Saccharomyces cerevisiae S288C: one gene and its partner. Changing the gene in region 1 together with any one later gene gives a genetic interaction. Each region holds a gene or a part of one and is shown on either strand. Other genes may lie near its edges.

What was found. A genetic interaction does not mean that the proteins touch.
Region 2: mutations in CBP2 (region 1) and ZNF1 together harm fitness more than expected from each alone (negative genetic interaction), as found in Saccharomyces cerevisiae (one large-scale study listed by BioGRID).

What each region holds. Positions count from the first base shown.
Region 1 is NC_001140.6:20,232-31,343, reverse strand, and holds CBP2 (Cbp2p), read left to right. Parts: upstream 1-5,834; coding exon 5,835-7,727; downstream 7,728-11,112. Other genes in the region: putative ATP-binding cassette multidrug transporter VMR1, read left to right, coding at 1-3,366; MUP3 (Mup3p), read right to left, coding at 3,463-5,103; YHL037C (uncharacterized protein), read left to right, coding at 5,165-5,566; EFM1 (protein-lysine N-methyltransferase), read right to left, coding at 7,804-9,561; ARN1 (siderophore transporter), read left to right, coding at 10,373-11,112. UniProt on the Saccharomyces cerevisiae protein: Appears to be specifically required for the splicing of the terminal intron (bI5) of the cytochrome b pre-mRNA. Can also stimulates the splicing of the omega intron of the precursor of large ribosomal RNA.
Region 2 is NC_001138.5:25,572-31,545, reverse strand, and holds ZNF1 (DNA-binding domain containing protein), read right to left. Parts: upstream 3,315-5,974; coding exon 1,917-3,314; downstream 1-1,916. Other genes in the region: YFL051C (uncharacterized protein), read left to right, coding at 1,006-1,488. UniProt on the Saccharomyces cerevisiae protein: Transcription factor that regulates respiratory growth and plays a critical role in stress adaptation during non-fermentative growth.

The DNA of each region.
Region 1 (11,112 bases):
GCAGTAATTATGATAATAGTTGTTGTAGGACTACTTTTCAACTTTTTAGGTGTTTCAGCTTTTGCAGGAATTTCAATTATCTTAGTGATGTTCCCATTGAATTTCTTGTTAGCGAATTTGTTAGGTAAGTTTCAAAAGCAAACACTGAAATGTACTGACCAAAGAATCTCAAAATTGAACGAGTGCTTACAGAACATAAGAATTGTCAAATATTTTGCTTGGGAAAGGAATATTATAAATGAAATCAAATCAATAAGGCAAAAGGAATTAAGATCCTTATTAAAAAAATCTTTGGTGTGGTCCGTAACTTCTTTTCTTTGGTTCGTGACACCGACCTTGGTGACAGGTGTCACTTTCGCCATCTGTACATTTGTTCAACATGAAGATTTGAATGCCCCGCTTGCTTTCACTACTTTGTCACTCTTCACTTTGTTAAAGACACCCCTGGATCAATTATCAAATATGCTAAGTTTCATAAATCAATCAAAAGTCTCTCTAAAAAGAATAAGCGATTTTTTAAGGATGGACGATACAGAAAAATATAATCAACTAACCATATCTCCAGACAAAAATAAAATTGAATTTAAAAATGCGACTTTAACCTGGAATGAAAATGACAGCGATATGAATGCATTCAAATTATGTGGTTTGAATATTAAATTTCAAATTGGTAAGTTAAATTTGATTTTGGGTTCTACAGGATCTGGTAAAAGTGCATTGCTGCTGGGTTTACTGGGTGAACTAAATCTAATTAGTGGCTCTATCATTGTTCCGAGCTTAGAACCAAAGCATGATTTAATTCCCGACTGCGAAGGTTTAACCAATTCCTTCGCATATTGTTCACAAAGTGCGTGGCTATTAAATGACACGGTAAAAAACAATATTATCTTTGATAACTTCTATAACGAGGATAGGTACAACAAAGTAATTGATGCATGTGGGCTGAAAAGAGACCTGGAGATTTTACCAGCAGGTGACCTAACAGAAATTGGTGAAAAGGGTATAACTTTATCAGGAGGGCAGAAACAGAGAATTTCCTTGGCGAGAGCTGTTTATTCGAGTGCTAAGCATGTCTTACTAGATGATTGTTTGAGCGCTGTCGATTCACATACTGCTGTATGGATCTATGAAAATTGCATCACAGGTCCACTAATGAAAAATAGAACCTGCATTTTAGTTACGCACAATGTTTCATTAACACTTAGAAATGCCCATTTCGCGATTGTGTTGGAAAATGGCAAAGTGAAGAATCAAGGAACTATTACAGAATTACAAAGCAAAGGGCTTTTTAAGGAAAAATATGTTCAACTTTCTTCTCGAGATAGCATTAATGAAAAGAACGCTAATAGATTAAAAGCTCCCAGAAAAAATGACTCTCAGAAAATCGAACCTGTCACCGAGAACATAAATTTTGATGCAAATTTTGTCAATGATGGCCAGCTAATAGAAGAGGAAGAAAAATCAAACGGTGCCATAAGCCCCGATGTTTATAAATGGTACCTGAAATTTTTTGGAGGCTTCAAAGCTTTAACAGCCCTGTTCGCTCTTTATATCACAGCTCAAATTTTGTTCATCAGTCAGTCTTGGTGGATACGACATTGGGTCAACGATACCAATGTACGAATAAATGCTCCAGGTTTTGCGATGGACACGCTGCCATTAAAAGGGATGACCGACTCTTCGAAAAATAAACATAATGCATTTTATTACTTAACCGTATATTTTCTTATTGGTATCATTCAGGCAATGCTAGGTGGTTTTAAAACAATGATGACGTTTTTATCCGGTATGCGAGCCTCCAGAAAGATCTTTAATAATCTGCTAGATCTAGTTCTACATGCCCAAATACGATTTTTCGACGTGACGCCGGTTGGTAGAATCATGAATCGCTTTTCAAAGGACATCGAAGGTGTTGATCAAGAATTGATTCCATACTTAGAAGTAACTATATTTTGCCTAATTCAATGCGCATCAATTATATTTCTCATTACCGTAATAACTCCTCGCTTTTTGACAGTCGCCGTTATCGTTTTTGTTTTATATTTCTTTGTGGGGAAATGGTACTTAACGGCAAGTAGAGAATTGAAAAGGTTAGATTCAATAACCAAATCACCCATTTTTCAACATTTCTCAGAGACCTTGGTAGGCGTTTGCACAATTCGTGCATTTGGCGACGAGAGGAGATTCATTTTAGAAAATATGAACAAAATTGACCAAAATAACAGAGCATTCTTTTATTTATCAGTTACTGTCAAATGGTTTTCTTTTAGAGTCGACATGATTGGCGCATTCATTGTTTTAGCATCAGGTTCTTTTATTCTGCTCAATATTGCAAATATTGACTCGGGTCTTGCCGGCATTTCTTTGACATATGCCATTTTGTTTACAGATGGTGCTTTATGGTTAGTTAGACTGTACTCAACATTTGAAATGAACATGAACTCTGTTGAAAGACTAAAAGAATATTCTAGCATTGAACAAGAGAACTATCTTGGCCATGATGAAGGCCGCATTCTACTTCTAAACGAACCATCGTGGCCAAAAGATGGAGAAATTGAAATTGAAAACTTATCTTTACGTTACGCGCCAAATTTGCCTCCTGTCATAAGAAATGTTAGTTTCAAAGTGGATCCTCAAAGTAAGATTGGGATTGTCGGAAGAACTGGCGCAGGCAAATCTACCATAATAACGGCATTATTCAGATTACTAGAACCAATAACCGGATGTATCAAAATAGATGGGCAGGATATAAGTAAAATTGATCTCGTTACATTACGTCGTTCCATTACTATCATCCCTCAGGACCCTATTCTATTTGCAGGTACAATCAAAAGTAATGTTGATCCATATGATGAATATGATGAAAAAAAAATATTCAAAGCACTTTCACAAGTAAATCTAATTTCTTCACATGAATTTGAAGAAGTGCTTAACTCGGAGGAACGCTTTAACAGCACTCATAATAAATTTTTAAATCTTCACACAGAAATAGCTGAGGGCGGCTTAAATCTGTCCCAAGGTGAAAGGCAATTGCTTTTTATTGCACGATCATTGTTACGCGAGCCAAAGATAATACTTTTGGACGAGGCTACTTCCTCTATTGATTACGATTCTGACCATTTAATTCAGGGTATTATAAGAAGTGAGTTTAATAAAAGCACAATTCTTACTATTGCACATCGTTTGAGATCTGTTATCGATTACGACAGGATAATTGTGATGGATGCCGGTGAGGTAAAAGAATATGATCGCCCTAGTGAACTGTTGAAAGATGAACGCGGTATATTTTATAGTATGTGTCGTGACAGTGGGGGCCTAGAGCTTTTGAAGCAAATAGCCAAGCAATCAAGTAAGATGATGAAATAATCGAATGTTTCTTTCTTTTATTCAAAGATGAGGATGAATATTATTTATTAAAAATGCAATAGTAGTCTATAAAATATTTATGTAGAAAAGGAAAAACTAACACAGACATGGCTTTTTCACCCATTCTGTGACAATGAGCCCATCATGCAAATAAGTGATTTTGGGTAAAAGTTTATAATGGAAGAATTTAGGTAGTAAAACGAATTTAACTAACCAGAAAAAGAAGCATGCAACTATTACCAGTAATGACATGATTTGGTAGGGCGGCAGGAACCCAACTCTGTTTAGGCTAGGGTCGGCAAAGAATGGTGCCATCAACATGTATAATGATAATGTAATAATGGCTAATACTCCAAAAGTAGATGCACGAATCTCTGGGACTTCGTTCTTGTGTTTGAACCTCCAAATAAAGAGCCCAATAGCGACCAATAATAAGAAAAACTGATTACCATAACCATCCATCGATACCAGATAATTGAAGGATTCGCCCTCTTTGGGTAAAATCAATATCCAAGCAATGGTTATAAAGCCACATAAAGAAATAGATGGTAGAGGTGCATCAAATGGCCAATTTTTGGACATATGAATACTGAATGGTAAATAACCTTCTTTGAATATTTCCTGGTTAACTCTTGATATACTGTAAATGACAACCAGAATATTAGATGCTGCAGAAATGGCGATAGAAAAAGCAATGAATTTGCCACCAACTCTGGGTCCGAAAAGTTTGGTAAACAACACGGAACCAACCAGGGGGCCTGCACTAACAATTTCCTCATATGTCAAAACTTTCAAGTATGCCACATTCATCATTGTGTAGCAGACAAAACAAATTATCAACGATAAGGGACCTGACACCTTCAACGTCTTAACGGGATTCTTAATTTCTGATGTAACTGTGTGAACTGTATCCCATCCAGAAAAACAAAAGAATGAGCTGATAAAGGCAGTAGCAATAGAGGACACCGACAGGAGAGAATCTTTCTCAACTTGGGTTACTGGGAGGTCCCAGGCAACTTGACCGGTGCTTTTATAAAAGAAAAGCGTGTATAGCCCGGCAAAGCACATCAAGACAATCATGATCAACTTCAAACCACCAAGTGCGTTCTGTATAAACACTCCGTGCCTTACAGAGACACCGTGAATGAGAACGGCAAATATTATAAATGATATGCTGACGTACTTGGACCACGAATCATCCGTGACTCCAAATGCGCTCAACACGTATTTACCGAAGACGATAGATCCCGTCAATGCATAGCCAGTTAAAACACTGTAACACGAAAACACCACACTAATTAATAGTCTGGGTCTTTCAAAACTCCGTTCGAGGAAGTTTTTACGTCCACCTGATTTCGGTATCCAGGAACCAAATTCTAGAAAAAGATACAATCCTGCAAAAGCGATCGCAGCGCTAAAAACCCAGATCGCAAAATATATCAGCTTATTACCACCTGTATTCAGTAAAATCACACTGGGTACTGCAAATATACCTGACCCCATTATCCTCGAAACAAATAACACAACCGTGGAGAACACACCTAAATGTCTTCCCTGTGGAACTTCCATGAATCTTGCCGTCTCTGCCTTTATCGCCTGCGCTTCCACAGTATCCATCGAACTGAATGATCCAGTATTTGTGGAACCATATTTTGTGGTAATATCACCAACTTCCACATCTATGAAAACATCTTGAGAGGGATTTGCTTTCCCACTATTAAAAAGCAGCGGTTCCATTTTTACTTATTTTGAGCACTGTACGTCTACGTTGCCCTCAGCAACTTAGACTACAAACAGAATGTACAGATCATCGATAAGCATCCAGGTCTTTATATGTGTATTGTTTTTGCCCCTTGACTCAGGCAGGCCTCTAATCTATATGATTGATTTGTCATATATATGCAGCGACGCCACAGTTTTTTCCGGCAAGAGTCGCGTGATCTTTTTTTCTAATCCAATCTGTGAACATACTAGAGGAAACTTCTACCTTTTCTACCTGAATTACATTATCAACACTTTTGCACCAAAAAATCGTGGTACTAGGAGATGCAAACCTTTTGGTCTCCACATCAATTGCAGGAAAAAGATTGACTGTTTGCATGTGCAATTATCTTATATATTATGTAAAAATAAAAGTAGGAAACGCCACATGGATGCGCATGCCATAACCCTTGCATGGTTAGCACACGCCCTCACGTGAGTGAATTTGCCAAAATGATAGTCAAATGTGTTGATAGTTCGATAAGAGGTGAAGTTGGGGAACTAAAGGTGGAATAGAAAATGATAAAACAAAGGAAAGAGTGAAGATTGCCGCCGAGTAGAATCCAAGATTGGTGTGTATGGGTGTATTTAGTGAAAGTTCAATTGCATTGAAGATGACAAATTATGCTTAAGTGAATGGACAATGAAGGCTTCTCTTGAAGGAGTAAGGCTGCGCTGAAGGAAAGGTTTGAGACAGAGTGACCAAAATGGTGAATTGGCAAACATTGTTCATGGTCTCATTGAGGAGACAGGGCAGTTCCTCTCGTTACAGGTATAAGTTCAACATGGAGAATATCACACATCAGGTGTTCCCTCGCTGTAAGCAAGCGTTTAAGAAGACAAACTTATCTTATGAATATTGTGATCTTGAAGGAGTACTGTATAATATTTCACTCACGGACTTGCAAAAACTGCTATTACGTGATATAAACGCCCCTCGCGAACACGCATTCAAGATTGTTAGAACAGATCTAACTCAAAAATCCTCGAAGAAGAGGATCCAACACTGGGAACGGATTGCGCCTATGTTTGACCACCCCTTAAGTCTCTACGAGAAGTTGTTCAGCGAAATGGATGAGGACTTCAAGCCATCTTTCGAGTGGCAACAATTAATAAGGGTACGATGCAAAGATGATAAGTTGAAACTGCAGCGTGTAATTTGGCCTAAGTCGATATTTTCAAACTTTTGTCGGGGAATCGGGGTTAAGAAGAGCACTTACGATAGACTCTTGGAACAAAATAATGGTGAGGTACCCATGTTTGTAAACCCAGCTAATGCAAAGCCCTTGCCTCTTTTCCAGGTTTCCGATGAGGCGATGATTGGGGAATTCGATGGAATTGGTATTTTCCCTTACTTTGTAGATAAACATAGAGAATTTTTCGTTACTGAGGTAGACAAATTGAAGACCAAGATAGCTTCGCCACTTTGCACCTTGAATGAACGAAAGCGCATTGAGAAGGCTAACGCTGGTCGGATACTGGCGAACGAAGAGGGTAAACCATTCTATCTGGATGCAAACAGTGCCACAACTCGAATCGCTGGTGGTAATGTCGTCACTTTGAAGCAACTTTTAGAAAGATCGGTTAGCCATAAGACATTGTGGAGCAAACAATCAAACAAAGACAGAACGTGCCCTGGAGACATTTTAAGAGCTACAATATTATCAAACGACTTCTCCATCCGGCAATTGAGGGCTGAATTTTGCAAAAATTTCATTCTCTACAATATATTCACCATTTTACAACGTAACAAGAAAAGCATCCGTTCCTTCTCTGGTAACGATAATGCGCCTTCCTTTCAATTTAGTTGGAATGTTTGGGACTCATATATATGGAAGCAATATCAAGAGACCGAGTCCATGAAAATACCCACGGACCAAGCTTCTCTGATCAACTACAAGACAAAATACGACTCTTTTCTTCATGACCTACAAACATATTCCGCACTGGTAATTTCAGAAATGAAATGGAACCAATTCTCTATTTTCCAAAATGATGAAACGACTTTATCAAGATTTGAACACATCACATTAATTTTGCAAACCGTGCTGACAAAATCGAAAATGATTAGAATTTTCCAGCCAAACTTGTACAAGTTTATGCAAGATGATTTAAGACCAACTTTAATGGAGTTGGTGGGTTTCACTGAGTCAATAAATGCAACAATAGAACCTGGTTTTGCGAATGAACAATCGCTACAATCTGCAAACGGATTAAAGAAATTGGCCAACCAACTTTTATACTTCGAACAGGAAATATATGGCGAAAAGTTCCGCGTAAATAGGCCCATCCAGCTTCGTCCAATAACATTATCAGCAAACTACAAAATTGTTATTCTGGATAAGAAGAACGCCATACCCGAAATATTTCAAACCCTACTGAAATTCATGACACAAATAACGACATATTTTGTTAAAGATTTGTCGGAGGTAGAACTTCATGGGCACATGCATTGTATTGATAAAAAAATGCTGGACAAGTCGAAATTCATGTATTTATACGAAGAGAAAAGCAACGAGGAAGTGAAAGCAGCTTCTCCTCAAAAGGAGAAGATAGTAGATAATATCATTGGCCTATTATCAAATGATGAAGAACATTAACATGAATTGGAAAAAGAAAAAATTGCATGTAAATATATACATACGTAGAATTTTATACTTAGGCTACAGATCAAAGCTAAATCTGTAAGTCGTATGCCTTCTTCATTAGAAATATAGGCTCTTTATTTGATTTCCTGATCCAAACCAATCTATCAATCGCAGTATCTGCCACAATGAACTGTCTTATGCCCCAATCACCGACACTATAAATTTCTGGAATTCTCTCCGATAAATTAGGGAAGTATTTTTTATAGAACGGCAAAAACTCCATAACATCTTCTTTTTCAATGACAATTGAATCACTAACTTCTTTGAAGGTTTGTTTAATGAAACCTCCCTGATTATTACTTTTATCGTTGATTAATTTGACTATCCAGAGCAACAATGCGTCATTAAGACAGTCTTTTGTGATCAAATCTTCGTAATTTATAGCACCAAATACCAGTAAGAGAGAATTGGCAAATATTTTGTCGTTTTTAAAAATTGTCTTGAATGACAGAGAAAACTCCTTATTATTGCTATATATTTTTTTTTGTAAAACGGACAATTTCTCAGTAGTGGCGTTCAGAATTTTTTTGTTATCTTGATAGTATAGTTTGATTAGTTTAATAACATGAGGGCGTAATTTTTGAGTCGAAGAAGTTTTAATTTTAAAATTCTTATAAAACAGCAATCTCTGGGATACTACAGATGTTAATTGATCAATACCTTCCAATACGCTCCTTACGGTTGGAGTTTCTTCAGACTTTAATTTACTTAGGTAGGCAAATAACGCTAGTAGAACCGGTGGTAATGGTTCAGAAATTTTTAAACTAAATTGTAAAATGGTAGTTTCTCCATCGTCAGTAACAAAATTACCTGATTTGTTAAAATCCACGGGCAAACCGCTAACTAAGGTGGATGGTAGCTTTAAAGTCAACCTAGAGAAGTCAAACTTATTCGAGGAATCCCAAAACCCGTAGTTTAACAAACATTTTTCATTAGAAATATTACCATAATTATTAAACAATTCATCCTGTGCACTAAATGTGGTAGTCTGCGACATGAAACAAAGTTCATTTTGTTCATTCATCTCCCATCTTACTGGTACATCGTTTTTATGGTTTAATAAATCTACTATTGGATACAAAAATCCTTCGTTCAGATTGGTGCGGTCTGTACCGGCCCTGCCTAAAATGACACGAGGAAATGCCCTAGAATTAAAGATGCAGTACGACCAAAGATACGCCACGAACGAGTTCCATTCCGAATCTTCTAGTTTACATCCATTGATGTGTGCGCAGAACTGTTCCAACGGCACTACGGCAGAGTCTTTATTCTCCTGGAATAAAGACAAGAACTGCTTATCTTGAGAAGAGTGTTCAATAGATAAAGCTTGGAACAGCATCCTCCACTCCTTTACTAGTTTGTTCAGCGTATCTCTCATAGTTAAGTACACGTCTGTACCATGCAAATTCATGACTTCATCAGTAGACCAAAAATATGGTTGTGGAAGGTGCAAGGGTAGCACATCTAAATATGGTTTGTAAAAGGATTTCAGGTGAACTGCATCGGTGCCAAATTTCAACTTTGACAAGTACAACTGTGTCACGGAATTCAAAAGACTCCTTTCATTAGCAGCCTGGGAAAATTCTGATAAAGCTTGCTGGGAAGTGATCAGCAGAGTTTCGGGTACCCTAATCAAAGCTTGGTCGGGTTTGGGAGAGAATTTTTCGTTTACAAATGCACTAACACCAGCATCCTCTGTAATCCTAAAAGAGATTTTCGGATCGATGAAGGCTCCATTATTTTGAGCCCATTGTAAGCAGTTATCTAGCTCAGTTTGGGTGATCATGCAGAAGTTCGTTAATTAAATGACGAGGTAGCTTCACCAAGCTTGATTCCTTAGTCTTTTTTACTTCCATCATTTCTTCTTTGTTGGAATGGTCAAGTTCAAGTTGAAAAATTTTCTTTTTCATAGTCAACTCATCGCAGGCACATTCGCCTTGAACGAACAACGAGCAGGACTCCAATAGAATAATAGTAATAGATTACAGGCCTATACAATCAAGACAACTATCAAGGTGGGGAGGGTTTCCACCTGTAACTTCCGCTGACTAATGATACATATTATCTGATCGGAAGCCAATGAAAGATCCCCTAAATATCACGCATGTAAGCGACCGCGATGAAGCGTACTGGCAGCTCTATCACGAAGCGATGGAAAAATACACCTGCGAATGAAAATCCATCAACAGAAATGAGAAGACAATTGTATATTATCATTAACGTTCATCTTTAGGACTTGTTCTCTTACGAAATTTGTGTGCCTGTATTTGTTAGAAAGCCACATATGTCTTGGCCTTTTTCACTTCTTTCCTGTTTGGGATTGCAAATTTATCAAAATGCACCCATAAAAGCAGGTGTGATATAACAAGCACATATCGTTAGGAAAATAGTGTCAAAGAGAAAAAAAGGCCAAGCAAATCGGAGTACAGTTTACATGAAGTAATGCAAGATGCATAGAACTGAAGATTTCAGGAATAATTGTATATAGGGGAGGAAACATTCGATAGCTCTCTTTTTGCTTTCGTTCACTATATCTCTTGTTTTCTTTCTTAAAAATATATGGACAGTAGTTCAAGCCACTGCATAGCAACGTACTAATGGAGTCTGTTCACTCTCGCGATCCTGTTAAGGAGGAAAAGAAACATGTCTTCATGGGAATGGAACACGAGTTGAATCCTGAGACTCATAACGATTCCAACTCCGACTCATATGGTCTCCCTCAGTTATCTGAAAAATACAATGCCTTGAGACAGAACAGGAGCCTAATTATCCAGCAGACTGAAATCATTGGCTCTGCTTACAATAAATGGTACTTACAAGCGATTTTACTTTTGAGTGCTTTCATATGTGGCTACGGTTATGGACTGGACGGTAACATCCGTTATATTTACACTGGTTACGCCACATCATCCTATAGTGAGCATTCTCTGCTGTCTACAATCAACGTCATTAATGCTGTGGTCAGTGCCGCTTCGCAAATCATATACGCTAGGTTGTCTGATGTGTTTGGTAGACTATACCTTTTCATTAGTGCTGTCATCCTATATGTTGTGGGTACAATTATTCAATCACAAGCTTATGATGTTCAAAGATACGCTGCAGGTGCCATTTTCTACAATGCTGGCTATGTGGGTGTAATCCTTATTCTTTTGATTATCCTATCCGATTTTTCATCTTTAAAGTGGAGACTGCTGTATCAATTTGTCCCGACTTGGCCTTTTATCATCAACACATGGATTGCTGGTAATATCACTTCCAGAGCCAATCCTGTTGTCAACTGGTCTTGGGATGTAGGTATGTGGGCTTTCATCTTTCCCCTATCATGTGTTCCAATCGT
Region 2 (5,974 bases), on another chromosome or scaffold:
ACAAAAAAAAAAATGCATTACATCACGTTCCTTGCTCTGTATCTCTTCACCTGCAATTACTCAAAAGAAAAAAAGAAATATAATTTTCCTTTGAGCACCCTTGGTAACTTATCTAAGAACACGCGATGTAATCGAAATTTAATAACCTAAAAAAGAAATAGAGATCGGTGACGTTTGACGCTAGCCAATCTCCACGAGATTTATCTGGAAGGGCATCACCCGTCAAAACACTAAGAAATTTGACACCTTATTTTTTTTTCTCCGAAACGTTCTGAGACGTTTCTTTTTTTTTCAGGACGCCACCCTAAATCCGAAAAACCTTACTTGGCATTAGTGTTGTAAAAATTTCTTTTTTCCATCGTGGTTCTGAAAAGCTTGCAGAAAAAAAGTTCGAGAACGTTTTCGTATGACTTATTAAGCTGCCCTTGAACTTGCCTTCCCTCTTCTTTACTATTTTCAGCCAGGGACAGAAATAAAGCAAAATCGTTTAACTTTTATGACCGTAACAGGTAACAATATCTGCTCAATTCGGTTAGTAAAAAAAAAAAGGTTATCGTAGGTTTACTATTTTCACATCGGTGCATAGAATCTATACTCTACTTCCTTTGGAGGGAATTTAGTAGTGCTCGATTAGCAGATAACAGCGCAGGGTTCTATGTAGTACGAAGCACTATCAGGTTTTTTAACGTACGTGAGTTGTTTTTTGTTTCTAATTTTTGGCTTGCCTGGGATAAACGGTGCCCATCAAATTATTAAGACCTGGTGAAAAGAGCGTACCTACATGGGTATCGGGGTTTTTGCCAGAAAGAGCTTTAACTGCAATTGATGCCTACCGGAGATTATTTTGATATCAAAATGCAGGAACGATATCTACTTCCCTAAAGCAGAAAACAAAACATTTTTTTAAAAGTCTTTCTTATATAAAGGTAACCTTCATTTCATGATAGCCAGATGATAATCTTAATGTAACAATTGGAGGATACCAGCATCCCTCCACACCTTCAAATGTCTATACCCCATTCCGTATTTTCGGCACTCTTGGTCTTCGTGGCGCTAGCTACTACAACCTTAGCCAGTACAGAAGCTTGCTTACCAACAAACAAAAGGGAAGATGGTATGAATATTAATTTTTATGAGTACACAATAGGCGACCAAACCACATACTTGGAGCCTGAATATATGGGCTATGAATACTCCAATACAAAGAAGTTAGGTTCCGTTAGCGGACAGACCAATCTCTCCATATACTATAGTCCGCCTTGTGAGAGCACTCCTACCTGTGTGACTTATGCAGTTTTGAAGCGTGATGAGGATGGATATGATCCTTGCGGACCTCTTTATGAAACTAAAAAACGTGACACTGAATACTGTGACCCAAATACTGCCTATTGGAGTTCTGATCTTTTTGGTTTCTATACTACTCCAACTAATGTAACTGTGGAAATGACAGGGTACTTAATATGGAGTATGGGCAACCGACGCCGTTGAACCTCTCCTTGGAGATTCTGATAATTTTATGACCATGACTTCTCGTGCACCTTACAGGAAACTTTAATGGCCTGATAAGTACAGCTATATTGTGATCACAATTATTAAAAACTAACTCATTTCATCTATAACCAAGTACAAATCGCACGACTATCATGACGATAAAAGCGTATATCCTTGATTTAATTCACATCACAATCACCCCCCTTGAAAAAAAAATAAATTTTTTTTCTTGCTATAATAGCATAATTGTCCACAAGTTCACTATTAGTGCTATCATTCTTCCCCACTGCCGCAAAATTGCAAAGGAAATAATTGTTTGCCCTGCAGGAACCATATACTAAAGAAGAAATAGATGCTATTAGCCTCTTCAACTGTCCGTAATCACTACATCTTGAAAGGTAAAATGCAAGTAGCAATGTGTTTACTTAAGGAAGCGCATCTACATCTTCTTTAGAACCATCTGTCGATTCAAGCGGATTAGAAAGAGGAAGCGTGATAAGCGCACACTGACACTTTGTCGTAAACTTATCAACTAATGTGCTATCACAATGCTTAAGAGAGAAGACAAATTTGGATATATCGAACAAAAAATTCCAAGCCTCCGACTCTGCATTTTGATCGTACTGATTCACAACATCTACCAATGCGTCGGCTATTTCTAGTGCTTTCACTGATATCCCTGGACCGTGAACTGCATAAAGATTTTTTGGGATTAAAAATGTGTCTTCTAACATGTCTCTAGCAATTTCTACTGGAATATGCGTATTCTTGCTATTTGAAAGGAAACTGATTCGCATACCGCTTATTTGAAGCACTAGCTTCCAAGCAAGTGTTCTAATCCAATGCCGTGAAAAAGATATGTCTACATAGCCGTAAGACCATGGTTCTATCTCAAGTGGCACCGTATGAAGTTCCCTCCATATCTTTTTAAGGGAGTCTTCAGTACAGGTTACATTAGCAGAGTCGGTAGCTAGAGCATCAAAGAAGCATTTTCCCGGTACAGTAAATACCCTAATCATCTCCAAGAAGCTGTCGAGAGATAGTCGGGGGTCCGTTACGTTCTCCGGTTGTGGTGGAGCAATCGTGGTATCCAGGCTCGTGGCGCAATGCGTATACACAGAAAAGTATCTTTCCGTTAAGAGAAGCAAATAATAAACTTTCCTTCCAAGCTGCTGCTCATCGAAAGGAAGAAGTTTCAAAGTTTCCTCGCGATGGAACCCCGCCAACTTAATGAGCCCCACGGCTTCACAAGAAAGCCGATACGAAGTTCTTGAGTTGGACATCTGTGCGTAGCAGCGGTTTAGACAATAGTACGTCATAATCTTGAATATATCACTACCGTTAAAATCGTCAAATTCTTGGCGTGATGACATGCAGAAACTGGATAACTGTATCCCAGTAAAGGTAACCCCTCCTTCCGACTCAATTTCAGTCTGCAAATCGCTAAGCGTGGCGGCAGAAAGAGATACCAGGAACCAATACACACAGGTTTCGTCATATCTTTTCTCTAAAAGTTCGTAAAGATCATCATAACACAGCAAAGGCCAGATCACATACAACTTATCATTATAGAGCCGCAGACACTGATCAATTAGTGCCTTTGGAACCTTCATTATGCCACCACTACTACTTTTACTAAATACCTGTACATCATCTACTTTCTTTAAATTTCTCACCTTGACGGGTTTTGGACCTCTTTTCTTCAAAGGTCGAAGATATGTACATTGCAGATTGTGTTGAAGACAACATTTACATGGTTTTTTACGATCACACTTTACTCGACGAATGCAACAACAGTCGCACGCTTGTCTATTGCGGGCCATCTTCGAACTAGAGCTCTTTTACTTTAGCTCTTTTGACAAGACAATGAAGCATTTCTTGAAGGTTTTCTTCTTTTCTCCGTATTTAAGTCAACAAGATATAGCTAATTTATTAAGCCGGGGGTGGGGAAAAACGCGGTAGTAACGTGGGGTACTTTAAAGTGGGGGAGATGGCACAGACAAAGCCGCAGGTACCTCGAGAACTCAGGGGAAAAAGGAACGCAGTTCAATAAGCTACCGATTTGGCAGATCTCAGGAGTAAAAATATAAATCTTAGTGCACATACAAGTGATAACTGCAACTCCAGATTTTTCTTTCGGTCGATTCGTTGATGCAACAATGTCGAAATTATAGTTAGGCGTTTGTTCCTGTAATTTAACTTCAAGTGGAGGAGTCAATGTTCTTTCCTATGTTCTATTTGTGGGATAGAAAAGTTAAAAAGAAGGTTTTTGAGTATCCCAGTGATAGTGCAGTACTACTTCTGTGTATTCCCGATTATTACAACGGCGGAGTTTTTTTCGCATAAACTCAGACTACTAAGTAACTCTCGAGCATCGTGAAGATCCTGATACTTTATCTATGCATTACGTACGGAACGGAGTGAGGCCTTTCTCCAGAAAAATCGTTGAGATGGCATGTAGGTTCTAGATTTGTGACGACACTCAACAAGAAAAGTTTGAGGTGAATATCTTACCCGCGACATCTGGAGCGAGAAGAAAGCCGTAATCGATAACGTATTCTCTCAATGCTGTGGCGTTTCAGTAGTATTTTGTTATTACCGACGAAAACGGTTCCTCAAGAAATAAAATATATCTAGAGGTAAGTTGCAAAACGCTAGACTATTTATGGCAAGATTAGTATTTGCTGTCGTGATATCATAAGTAGAGACACATGTTCAGCTTCTCACTTGAATTTAGGTTAGAACAAAATCTTTAAACAGCAGTTACAATGAATGTTTGGGAGACCTAGTCAGTCTCCATACTGCCAAGAAAAAGGTTAGTCGAACTGGAAAAACAAGGCTGTACTGCACCCTAATGTTTCTTAGTAAGCAATTCGCTATCGACGCCGAATACCATGAACATCAACCTTGTGAAAGCTTTCGCATATTGGCGCTCAAGAGATATAGACGGTACTAGTGAAAGAGAGACAAGGCCGCCGGATTACTTGCTCTCGTCATTGTAATTGTTCAATTTCACAGACATTTCTCTGGCATGTATCCATTGGGGCACCACAATAAGGGAATATTTTACAATATCGTAAGCTGTTCGTAATACGCGGCTTCTCTTTACTCAAAGCCCAATGAATCCTGGCTTCGAAAATCATACAAACTGTGAAATCTACTTATTTGAAATGACAAACACTGCTTCCCAGTCTGGAGGCTCTCTTTGAGGATAACTAACATGTATGGCTAAAAATAGTTAAAATAATTGAGACGACATTGCACTTGCTATAATCAGACTTCAATAACATATGCATACAAGAAACTTCTCTTTTGAAATAGGAGCGGGGCTCCATCACAAAGAGATTGAAATTTGATACTAGCTCTAAAATCGAGGCAGGGATGTTCCAATGATCGAGTTTGTCATGAAATATAAGGATGTTCACGTCAAGCTCGAGAAATGTTTCAAAATACCGCGAAATAACTCAAAAAGCTGGGTCACGAAGAAATGATTCTAGAAACAGGCGCTTATGCTCTTATATAATGAGATGTCTACATCGTCAGAACTAAGTGCGAAGAATACGGCCTACATTAGAGATTCTTCAAGGTAGTGAAACGTATTCGTGGCAGTGGTTATGGAACTGCCTTACGGTTGATTCAAAAGACTCATTGCATACTCAATTTAAAACGGCTCAAATCATTTGAAAAAATAATAGGCAATATAAAATAGAGAAATCACAGCACCTTGACGGACTGATATTACGAATAACGAGTATCATTGCCAAAGTTTGGCGTATGGGCGACGTGCGTCCATGCAAATCTACAGTAGATATTTTCAAAAGAGATCATTGTCAAAAAGATAACTAACTACTCATGCTTTGAGGGCATGCAAAGTTTCCAGAAAAAAAAAGATGAACCACACTTAAGCTGAAGCAAATTATAAGTGTTGAAATGACTAGGCGCAGTTAATACGCAACTCAATCAGTCAACACAGGCTGGTTACTTTCTAAGTTACAGCATAAGTTTAGAGTAATTATTGAAATCTGTTGATATAGGTTGATTTCTTAGATGCATGAAATGCAGCAAGATCTTCATATGATTTCAGAGATTAGTCAAAAAGTTGTTAACAGTCATGCATAATATCACTAATTGGTAGAACAAGAATCAACTACTTTATTTGTCAATATTTTCAGAGAAAAATTGATGTATAGGGTTGACCATAAAATAATGAATGACACCATTTTTTTTTTGAAAGAGAAAACAAGATACAAACATTTAAAATATGCTGTTGAGTTCAATGCCTTCCATGAATTAATAAGATTAGGAAAAAAAATTACAATACATTCTATACTTCTAATACTACGATCTTTATTGAAATCGAATCCGAAATAAGAGAATCATAAAACTTAGATTGCTATCCTAGAACTTGTTCATAGTATCAGAGAATGTGCAGATCTTCTAAAAAGGAATTGAGACTATTCATAGGTAAGAAAACAGCGGGGAA